Linked DNA regions of Caenorhabditis elegans. The protein of the gene in region 2 interacts with the protein of the main gene of each other region in a pairwise test. Each region holds a gene or a part of one and is shown on either strand. Other genes may lie near its edges.

Region 1 (7,069 bases), on a different chromosome or scaffold from region 2:
CATCGTCAACATCATCGCGTTTTATTATGGGTTCATGTATTATTACACTTTCCTCGAAAAAAAATTTTGACGAACGTGTAATATGTTTCACCTTGTCTCATTTGTACCTCGTTCATTGTTACGGGTTTGAAGTTTTAAAACTCTGAATTTATATGAAGAATTTTAATTTAAAAAAAAACTTTGTTTCCTTTTTTGAATTTTTACAGACAAATTTTTGGCTTGAAAACTGAAAAACCCTGACTAAACTTACTATTTATGTGTTGGGTATCAACGTGTATTGACCCACGACGTGGCTAAGAAGATCGTACAACGTGAACTCTATGAACTAACTTATTTATTCCTTAGTTTAGTAATGTAATAAACTACTCGTCTTCTCCTCCTCGTCTCGCCTTCGAATACACAACATTATGAAAAGAGTTTTTCTTAAGATAAAAAATGTTCTAAAAAATCGATGGCCGAGTTTCCTATTTACGCGGCCACAAGACCAGTAAAAAAGTGTTAACACAAGTGCGAAAACTAGAACATTTATTTTCAAATTTCACCCGATTTCTACAAAAAATCAACAAAAAAGTCACAAAATTTAAAATATGAACATAATAATCAATATCCCGCTGGCGCTGACTCCTCCCCTTTTCGGAAATCACTGTTCGCATAGATTTGGCCGTCGGAAAGTCGTTCGGCGGCGGTGACAACTGTCAAATTGTTCACTGCCTTCATTACGTGACCACGATCGATCAGGGATTTCACGTAGGCTTTCGGGAAGTTTGGCTCGTACCACGTGTAATTTGGCTAAAAAATAAGGAAATTGGGAAAGGTTTTGATTTTATTGATTGAAAAATATTTCATGTGAAAGTCGAAAATTGATTGAAAATTAAATTCAGAAGTTTTTTTTCTGAAAATTATTGATTTTTATTTTTAAAAAATCAACTTTTTGACAATTATCGATTTTTCCAACAAAAAAAAAATCAAATTTCGCGTGTAATTCTCTACCTGTAACTGATTGTGCATCCTTGGAGCATCAACAGCTTGTTTAACATCTGCTTTCAGCCATAACGCATGCAGTGCAACTCCAGCAACACCCGAAATAATGGTGGATCCACCGGCTCCGCCGACCGCCATAAGCTCCGCCCCTTTTGTGTTAAAGATCACTAATGGACTTTGACTACTCATGGGGCGTTTTCCAGGGCGAATGAAATTGGCGGGAGACGGTGGGAAACCGAAGAAATTCGGATGACCGGGAGTGGAAAAGTCGTCCATTTCGTTATTCCAGAGAATTCCCGTCGATTCGGAGGATACTAGGGCACCCAGGCTGGAAGAATTTGAGATGGTGGAAGAGTTTTTTTGGCGGTGGCCTAGAAAATGTCTTCATATCCGAAAAAGTCAAAGTGATGGCCTAGAAATTTAAGTTTGTGGCCTATAAACTTGAACTGATGGCCTAAAAATTGAACGTCGTCCTAAAAATGTTTTTAACTGATGGCCTAGAATTGAAAGGTGATGGCCTCCAAATTTCAGGTGGGCGTATATAAACTTTGGTTGATGGTCTAGAAATTATACACGTGGCCCAGATTATGAAATCACTTCGGTATAAAATCCAGGTGGTAAACAATTTACTATTAAGACTGCCTAAAATCATCCCCTGGCCTAATTAGTTTAAAATTTTTGGTGACGACCTCGAACTTGTTCATTTTTATCAACTGCAGTTGCTTGTCGACTGAGGACTAACTTCTCACTTGCTGGCCGAGTTTTCGAAGTTCGGCCACCAAAAATTTCCTTTAAAAAAGCCAAACTCACTATAAGTTAATGGTAGACGTAACCGAAACTGCATTGCCGTCTGCATCGATAATCGATACATGAGTTGTTCCATGATCCTGCGGTGGTGCTTCAAACGATCCTCCATAGTAATCATCAGGATGCGTCGTGTCTGTGATCTTCGACCTAACCCAATCCGCCCACTCTTTTGACGTAATATTTTTGGCGATTTCCGTGGCGTTTGCCACGAATTGCGGGTCGCCAAGCCAGCTTCTAGCCGCATAACTAAATTTGCTAGATTCCAGAAAATGATGGTATAACGTTGCGATTTCGTTGAACGACTTCATGTTATATTCGAAGCCATCCATCACGTTAAGTATTGCCTGAGCCACCGCTGAGCCCGAGGGAGGCGGCGGGCCGCAGACTCCGCGCCCGTTTTTCAGCTTTGTGTAGATCACATTTTTTGAGTCGTGGACTATTGATTTGTAATTTTTAAAGTCCTGAAGCCGGATGATCCCACCGTTGGCTTCGAACTCTTTGGCGAGTTGCTCGGCGAGCCGACCTGTATAAAAGTCGGCGATGGGATCTGTGGAGTTTGCGAGTAGCCGGAATGTTTCTAGAAGGTTTTGGCGGGTTTTTATCTGCTCTCCTGGTTGGAAGACACGCTGAGTTTCGGGGTTGATGAAGTTTTTCATGGTGGGCTCCGCGCGGATTTGGTGCTCGTTTTGGTTGAGAGCTTTTGCAAGGGCATGGGACGTTGGGTAGCCTGGAATTTTTTAGGATGGCCTAGAAACATGAACCGATAACATAGTTACTTATTTTGTGACCTCGAAATTTTCATGATGGCTTAGAAATTTTTATGATGGCCTAGAATTTTTATGGTGACCTAGAAATTTTTTGATGGTCTAGAAATTTTTAGTAATGTAATAAACTACTCGTCTTCTCCTCCTGAAAAAATTTGGGCCCGTCTCCCTTCGTGGTGAGACCCATCGTGGCGAGACCCATCGTGGCGAGACCCATCGTGACGAGACCCATCGTGACGAGGCCTATCGTGGTGAGACCCATCGTGGCGAGACCCTCCGTTGAGAGACCCATCGTGATGAGACCCATCGTGGTGAGACACGCCGTGGTGAGACTTATTGTGATACCCATCTTAACGTACACAGTAATTGGAGAAACTTTTAAACTGATTTTTACAAAAAGTTCAACATTTAACTTACCAAGAGCTCAATATTCCGTTGCCTCGCTTTTTGTTGCCCTCAGGGATTATTGTTCTGTTGCCTCCATTTCCGTTACCCCTGTTGTGTTGCCTTCGAGCAGCGTTGAATCCGTTGCCCCCCCCCTTTTTCGTTGTCCCCGGGGAATATTAAATCCGTTGCCCCCGTTATCCGTTACCCCTAGGGATTGTTGGCCGGTCTAAAAACGGCCACCAGAAAAGTTTTTGAGCATCAAAAATGTTCTACGCCGTTAGGAGTTTTTTAGGCCAACAGAAATATTCTAGGCTCGCAGAAAAAGTGCCCACCTTCAGCCAACAAATCAATAGTTGGTTTCAACAACTGTCTCCACTCGACTTTTCCACTTCCGAATCTCTCGAATTCAGTCCGGAGGCCGTGAAGCTCTCCGGGCACCGCAATCGCCTTCCATCCGATTCTCGACTGATTCCATTTGTCACGGTACATTTCCTCTGTTGCGGCGAGCGGAGCAATCTCCCGAGCATCGATTACCGTACACTCTTTTGTCGTTCTGGAAGAATTTTAGAGGTTTCTAAGTCATTGAAAATATTTTTAGGCCACGGCAGAAGTTTAAAGGCCACACGCGCTTCTGGCTTTCCTCATATTTTGAAATGGAAGAGTTTGCCGAGTTAGCCCGTTTGGACTAGGCCACGACCGGGGTAAATTTACGGAGCGTCGTGTAGACGATTGTCAATGGAGCGCGAGAAAAACGCTTTGACGAAGGCCAGAAACCAGTGAGGCCACAATGTGATGTTTGCAAAAATGTTTTTAATGGCCTAGGAAAATCATTCTTTCTTCCAAAATTTTTCTTCTTTGTTTTCCTTTTCGATTATTGATTTTTAGTTGAAAAATCAATATTAATAATTATCTTTTTTTTTAATTATTGATGTTCCGCTCCAATTCGTGGCGAGACCAACAACTCACGCATTATAAATAGTCATAAAATGTCCGCCGCCAATTCCGGCCGAATGTGTATCCATTACACCGATACAGAAAAGTGCGGCGATTGCCGAATCCACCGCATTTCCGCCTTTCAGCAAAATATTCCGACCGATTTCTGAGCAAATTTCGTTGTCGGCGGCGACGGCGGCTTTCGAATATTTTCCGAGTGGAGAAAGTGATGGTCCAGGCCAACGGGGTAGGCGGGCATTGTTCTGGAAACCTTGCCGAGTTTTATTTTTATCGGCCACGTAGCAAATCGGCCAGCCATGAACCGACTGCGGACTAGTTTTCACCCTCGTGGCCTAGCTTTCTAACAAACCTGCATTAGTAAATGAAAATACAATGAAGCGAATGCGACCGTTGAGATTAACAACGTGAATACGAGAACCGTTAAGCCGACCGCCGCGACTAAAGTACGGATTTTCATGGGTTGCTCGGCCTCGATAAGCGGCTCAACTTCATCAAATGGTCCATATTCTGGCGGTAAATTATCATCGTCCGGAAACGTGTTATAGTATTGAACAGGAGGTGGGTTACTGCTGAAAAGTCGAGTTTTGCGCGTCAAATTTGATGTATTGAGTGGCATGATCACTATTATTACAAGACCGCGAAATTTTGAGAATGCGTATTGCACAACATTTTTGACGCGCAGAATATCTCGTAGCGAAAACTACAGTAACTCTTTAAATCACTACGGTAAAGCTTGTGTCGATTTACGGGGTTTCGGTTTTTTCATTTTTTTTGTGTTTTTTAAAAAACAATTTATCGACTAATGAATGATTTCCGTAAATCGACACAAACACTACAGTAGTCATTTAAAGAATTATTGTAGTTTTTGCTACGAGATATTTTGCGCGTCGAATATGTTGCGCAATACGCATTCTCAGAATTTTGTGTTGCCGTAATAATTCTGATTTAAAAATGGAATTTTCAAAAATCAGAGGTTTCCCAAAAATTTGAATATTCCACAAAAAAGATGAATCTGAAGAGTATTTTCAATTTTTTGAGAAAATAATCGATTTTCTGGATTAAAAAATTTGAATTTATAGATTTCTAGATTCTAAAATTTGAATTTGTGCAATTTCAAACAAAAATGTATCGATTTTTATCGACTTTTCATAAAATTTAATTTAATTTTCGAAATTCCGAAAATATTGCCCGTTTTTCATATACCAAAAAAGTTGTATCAATTTTTTCAAAAAATTAAATTTTCATCGATAGTTGTTTTCAAAGCATCATGATTTTTTTGAAAGAATTTGCAAATGTGAGAACTACAGTACTCCCTTAAAGGCGCACGCTTGTTTTTATTTTTAAAAAATTGGTCGTTTCGAGACCTGGTACCGTATTTTCGCATTTGGGTAATATTTCCAGCATTATAAATTTAAAAACAATGCACTTTTTAAATCTTGAATCCATATATATATTTTTTTCAGAAACTCATGCCGCCTCGTTTGGGTCTCGATTCGAATTTTTTTCACAAACGTATAATATTTTCTCGAAAAACCCGCGAATTTTTAACATTATCGATTTTTCTCTCACCTCGTCGATTGCCCTTCAGGAGTCATTATTCAGAATTGAGTATGAATTAAAAAATCATAGAAAAAGTCAAAGCGCTGTCAATTGGAAATTTAGGACGAGAATGTCAAAATTGCAACTTTTCACGATAACGGAATTCTATCGCAAAACTAGATAAGAGCTACAGTTTGCTGCGTGTAAGCGCGCTCCAATGACAAACGAGAAGAGAAGAGAAGAGGGGGTAACCGCCAATAGCTCTCTTTATCGAGGATAGTCTTCAAGTGACAGAAGAGATATTCTGTGGTGGGAGAGAGTTGGGTGGAAGGGGGAACAATGAGGACTACGGAAGAATGACTTTTAGATTTGGAGTATAGGAGAAAGTGGAGGTTTTGGCTGAAATTATTTTCAAAAACTTTAACTGTAACAACTAACGAGTAGATTTGAAAATGAGGATAATATTCAACACAACAGAAAAAAAGTCGATAGGTAACTAATAAAAATTAGAGAAAATGTGGCATCGGGGAGAAGTGGTGGAACAAAAGAAGAAACTGATGATGATGATAGGAGGATAGCCGCGAAACAAGCGATTAACAGTGAACAAGATTCATTTCGGTGAAGATGGAGAAGATAACAGCAAAAAAAAAAACACAACAAAAGTCCTTATTATTGCCCATTGAGAGTTTGTTGAAGGACACTGGTAAGGTGCTCGTCGATTCCATCTTGCTGCGCGAATTGTGGGAACGATGCGTAGATTTGCTTCAGGATTGTGACAATTCTTTGCTTGGTTTGGTTGCCGCTATCGTCGTCGTTGAAAGCATCGTTGGCGATTGAGAGCAAGCCTGAAAAATACAAATAAAAATAAAATAAGTTACGGATTTTTTTAGATTAGAACTTACAAACAAGGAAGATTCTCGGAAGATTCTGATTTTCTGGTCCAAAAAGTGCGGCGTCTTGTTTATCAAACAATTCGGCGAGACACGTGTAAATGTAGGGGCTTTCCTCGGTGTCTGAATATGTTGGCAACCAGCTCAGGAACATCTCGACGACCTGGAAATAATATGGAACTTTTTTCTTGAAAAACTGAATTCTAAAACCAACCTTTCCGTAGGCTTCAGCAGGAAGTGGCACATTGCCGATGATTTTGGCAAATGCAGAAATCGCGTTTTCCGTGGCAACAGTGCTCTCCTCGGTGGCTCGGGCGTCCTCTCGTTGAATCATGGCGGCCAGTGGCTCCAAACAGCTCAAAATCTCGTTTCGGTAGTCGCTGATCTGGTGGTAGTTGATGGCCATAACTCCGAAACCGTAGCTCGCTGCTTGTCTCACTTCAGGATACTCATCTCCCAACAACTTGTACATTATTGGAATAAGCTTCGGGAAGCGAGTTGGCATATGTCCGACACCGAACTCGATGGCGTCATCGAGAAGGCACATTCCCCATTGTCTCTCGAAGTATTGTTTGGATCCCTCGATGAGTTGAATGGCACAGTTGAACACGTTGATCATTCCCTCGAAGATAGTTCCCTTGAACTCCTTCATAAGAGAGTGAGTCAAATCAGAGATGGCTCCAAGGCATGAGGCCTCCAATTCCATGAAATAATCGAGCTCCTCCTTAGCTTCAGCATCATCGTCAT
Region 2 (3,542 bases):
CGCCTTTAAAGAGACCGTCCCAAAATAAATCACTATTTATTTTATCTTATTTTCATATTCTCAATGCAATAGCAATTCGTAGTAAAAAAATGCAATAGCAATTCGTAGTAAAAAAAAACGTAGTAAAATACAAAATCGCTGTATTCATGCGTAAAATTAGATAAAAATTGGTTTTATTCATGAGTGCTTCAGTATTGTTATTTTATAAAACCGCGTTTAACATTTTCCTGTTTCTTGTAGTTTAAGATATCACAATTTCATGCAACATGTTCTTCTGATAGAACCACAAAACAAAACAATTTCGAATCTCGGATTACAGACAAATCTATCGCCGGATATATTTTTTATTTTGGCATTTTAGACAGACCTCGGCGCTCCCAGAGTTGCAGTTAGTTCTGTACTGCCAATCCTCAATAATCCATAATAATCCAAAAAAGTGAATGTTGTCTTATCACAACATTTGGGACTAGCGAGCGCAAAAAAAAAACACGCAGAACAAGGTCAGCTGTTAAGAGAATCGGCACAAACTGTTAATTATTTATTGTTTCTCAAATTCTAGTCAACACAATACATTTTATTTTCTTGAAATTATCGGGTTTCCTTCCAATCGAACTCGGAACCTCAGGTTCTCCATATTTGGGTTGGTTTTTTGTAGATTATCAATCCATCGAATCGCTGTTGCATTATCATCTTTATACATAGCACCCATTGCGAAAATCGTTTCGTGGTCTTGTTCGTGGATCGATCTGAAAATTAAAATTTTATATCAAATCTAAAATTTGAACTGTAAACCTACCTTTTAGCTTCTCCTCTTTGCTTCTGCCAGTCCGCGTACCAATTTGTATAATCTTCGTCCATATCTTCGTTTTTGAACTCGTTTAAAGGTTCCAGCTTCGTATTTCCAGTTAATGTGATAAATGGAATAACTCTGTCTTGTAGATAGACTTTTGCAGCATCCACGAAGACTTCATCACCTTTTCGCAATTCAGAAATTAATATCTGTTGCATTGGGCTCTGTGACGTGGCTAGCCATTTTTGTTGTGGATCTGATGAATCTGACAGTTTTAGAAGCGAAATAGAGGACGCAGCGTCTCGGCTCATCATTTTCAGCGCGATTCCGGCTAACTCGGAGGGTGATAGAGACTTCCCTTCCACGTGGCGCCTGTCCAGATATTTATTCGAATGTTTCAGCTTTGGCATCCAATAGAGCATACGCTTCACCTTTTTCGTTGCAAAATTCCACTCTCCGAATGCGTTGACCACGATATCATGGATCTCCTTATCCGGTTGAACACCTCAACTATTTTTGATAATTTATGAATAGTAAACGACTTTGTACTTACCATGCCACTCCATTTCATCTAGAACCTTCACTGCACAATTTTGTTGTTGAGGGTAATGCAGGAAAACTTTTTGGAAAACAGTTTGTGGGATCATCTTTCCTTTTGGAAAAACTTCAAGGAGTCCTTTATAAGTATCGATATCCTTATGAACCCCATATTCTTTGACATATTTTAGAGCTGTGTTGATAAATTCGACATGCGTTCGACCTCGTTTTTCCTTGAACGTGGCTGAAAACATAGATTAATCGTTGAAACTAGACAGATATCCAAACCTATCGCTGCCATGAATGCATCTTTATCTCTTTTCTCCGGTTCTATAGCTTCGAATTGCTTTTCAACATGTACTAAACTCGTCTCTTGATTCGCTGCAGCAAAGCATCGTATTTGATTGCTGATAACCCGTCGTGAAACATGTGCAAGAGCCATTAAAGTCTGAATATGTACAAATAAATTAATATTATAACTTTATAGTTAAAATAAAACATTTAAAATCACATTTCTATATCTTTTTAACAAAAAAATTGCTTAAAAATCTAAGGAGTAAGTGCGCTCCACCGCTCCCCGTAAATCGACGGCGAGTGTATGAAGGATACGGTAATAGAACACGCAACAAAACTAGCACTGCCGCATACACTTTTGTGCGTTGAAATTCATTTTGGGTTTTCCTGATCCTATTTTTTAGCTTTTTTCCGCTTTTCTTTTTCTGATTTTTACAAAAATTTAACAGTTTTTTCATAGTTTTTAAATATTGCAATATGCACTCATATTTTTTCGGTAATTCCCATCTACCTTTCCATTTTAAAAGAAAATTGTAACGTTATCCTAAAATTGTTTTTCGCTATTATATCAGATTGTTCATTCCCCATTCCTTGCATCATATTTTTGTTTTTCAGGGTTAAAACATGCCAACCAAGGCTCTTGGAGAGACTCTTAATGAGTACGTCGTCGTCGGACGCAAAATCCCAACAGAGAAGGAGCCAGTGACTCCAATCTGGAAGATGCAAATCTTCGCCACCAACCACGTCATCGCCAAGTCTCGTTTCTGGTACTTCGTCTCTATGCTCCGTCGTGTGAAGAAGGCCAACGGAGAGATCCTTTCGATCAAGCAGGTTTGTGGAAAATAATAATAATAACCCATTTTACAATAAAATTTTCAGGTGTTCGAGAAGAACCCAGGAACCGTCAAGAACTACGGAGTCTGGCTCAAGTACGATTCCCGTACCGGACACCACAACATGTACCGTGAGTACCGTGACACCACCGTTGCCGGAGCCGTCACCCAGTGCTACCGTGACATGGGAGCTCGTCATCGTGCCCAAGCTGACCGCATCCACATCCTCAAGGTCCAAACCGTCAAGGCCGAAGACACCAAGCGTGCCGGAATCAAGATGTTCCACGACGCCAAGATCAGATTCCCACTCCCACATCGCGTCACCAAGAGAAAGAACCTCAGCGTCTTCACAACCGCTCGCCAAAACACCCACTTCGCCTAAGTTGCGGATTATTGTTATTTGTTACAATAAATTGTTGCAAACAAATTTTTTTCTTAATTTTTCATTTTAAATTTGTGTGGTTTGAATCCTGTTTGTTCAGCTTGTTATTTGTTTACTGTTTTTATCTCGTGCGCAGCACTTGTTGATGTTATTAGATGATCATTGCAATGATCCATAAGGCATCGGACCGCCCAGCTGACTTGTGTGACTGGTAAATTTTGTCAATATTTTCAAATTTGTTCTTTTGCAATATAGATATCTGCTCTTCTATATTCAGTTCTTACGCTACTAGATCTGTAACTACATTCCTTAAAGTTCAATATCACTATTTCGATAAGGTAAATTAATTCTTAATAATTGAGATAAGTTGATAAAAATCTGGATAACTGTAGATTTTGTAAGTTGTAAGCGTTAGAAATGCGGTAAATCTCGTAGAAACTTTATTTTTTGTATTTTAAGGGCAAAACCTTTCAGATCATAGATAAAAAGTTCAACAGCGTCATTTTAGTATGTCCTCGCTGAATGATATTTCACCCAGACTCCCGAGAGCGACCGCCCGATTGTTCTATGGCCTTTCTGTGTCTCTGCGTCTCCTCGCCGCCCGAGAGATGGCACAACCCCCGTTTCTTTCTCGCTATTGCATCACGGGCGGTTCCCCAAGTGCTGCTGTGGCGGTTTCTTCCTGCTAGACTCTTTTAGTATATAT

Evidence for each region. Proteins that work in one complex are often made in the same cells at the same time.
Region 1: the proteins of Y17G9B.5 (region 2) and C53D5.5 interact in a two-hybrid assay, tested with the Caenorhabditis elegans proteins (one large-scale study listed by BioGRID).

The regions. Positions count from the first base shown.
Region 1 is NC_003279.8:305,300-312,368, forward strand, and holds C53D5.5 (Gamma-glutamyltranspeptidase 1), read right to left. Parts: upstream 5,492-7,069; 5' UTR 5,489-5,491; coding exon 5,463-5,488; intron 4,463-5,462; coding exon 4,243-4,462; intron 4,136-4,242; coding exon 3,906-4,135; intron 3,493-3,905; coding exon 3,272-3,492; intron 2,516-3,271; coding exon 1,792-2,515; intron 1,310-1,791; coding exon 991-1,309; intron 790-990; coding exon 601-789; 3' UTR 512-600; downstream 1-511. Other genes in the region: imb-3 (Importin N-terminal domain-containing protein), read right to left, coding at 6,102-6,277, 6,335-6,485, 6,537-7,069.
Region 2 is NC_003282.8:4,748,473-4,752,014, reverse strand, and holds Y17G9B.5 (Evolutionarily conserved signaling intermediate in Toll pathway, mitochondrial), read right to left. Parts: upstream 1,776-3,542; 5' UTR 1,770-1,775; coding exon 1,616-1,769; intron 1,572-1,615; coding exon 1,344-1,571; intron 1,296-1,343; coding exon 797-1,295; intron 747-796; coding exon 575-746; 3' UTR 524-574; downstream 1-523. Other genes in the region: rpl-18A (Large ribosomal subunit protein eL20), read left to right, coding at 2,246-2,452, 2,501-2,836.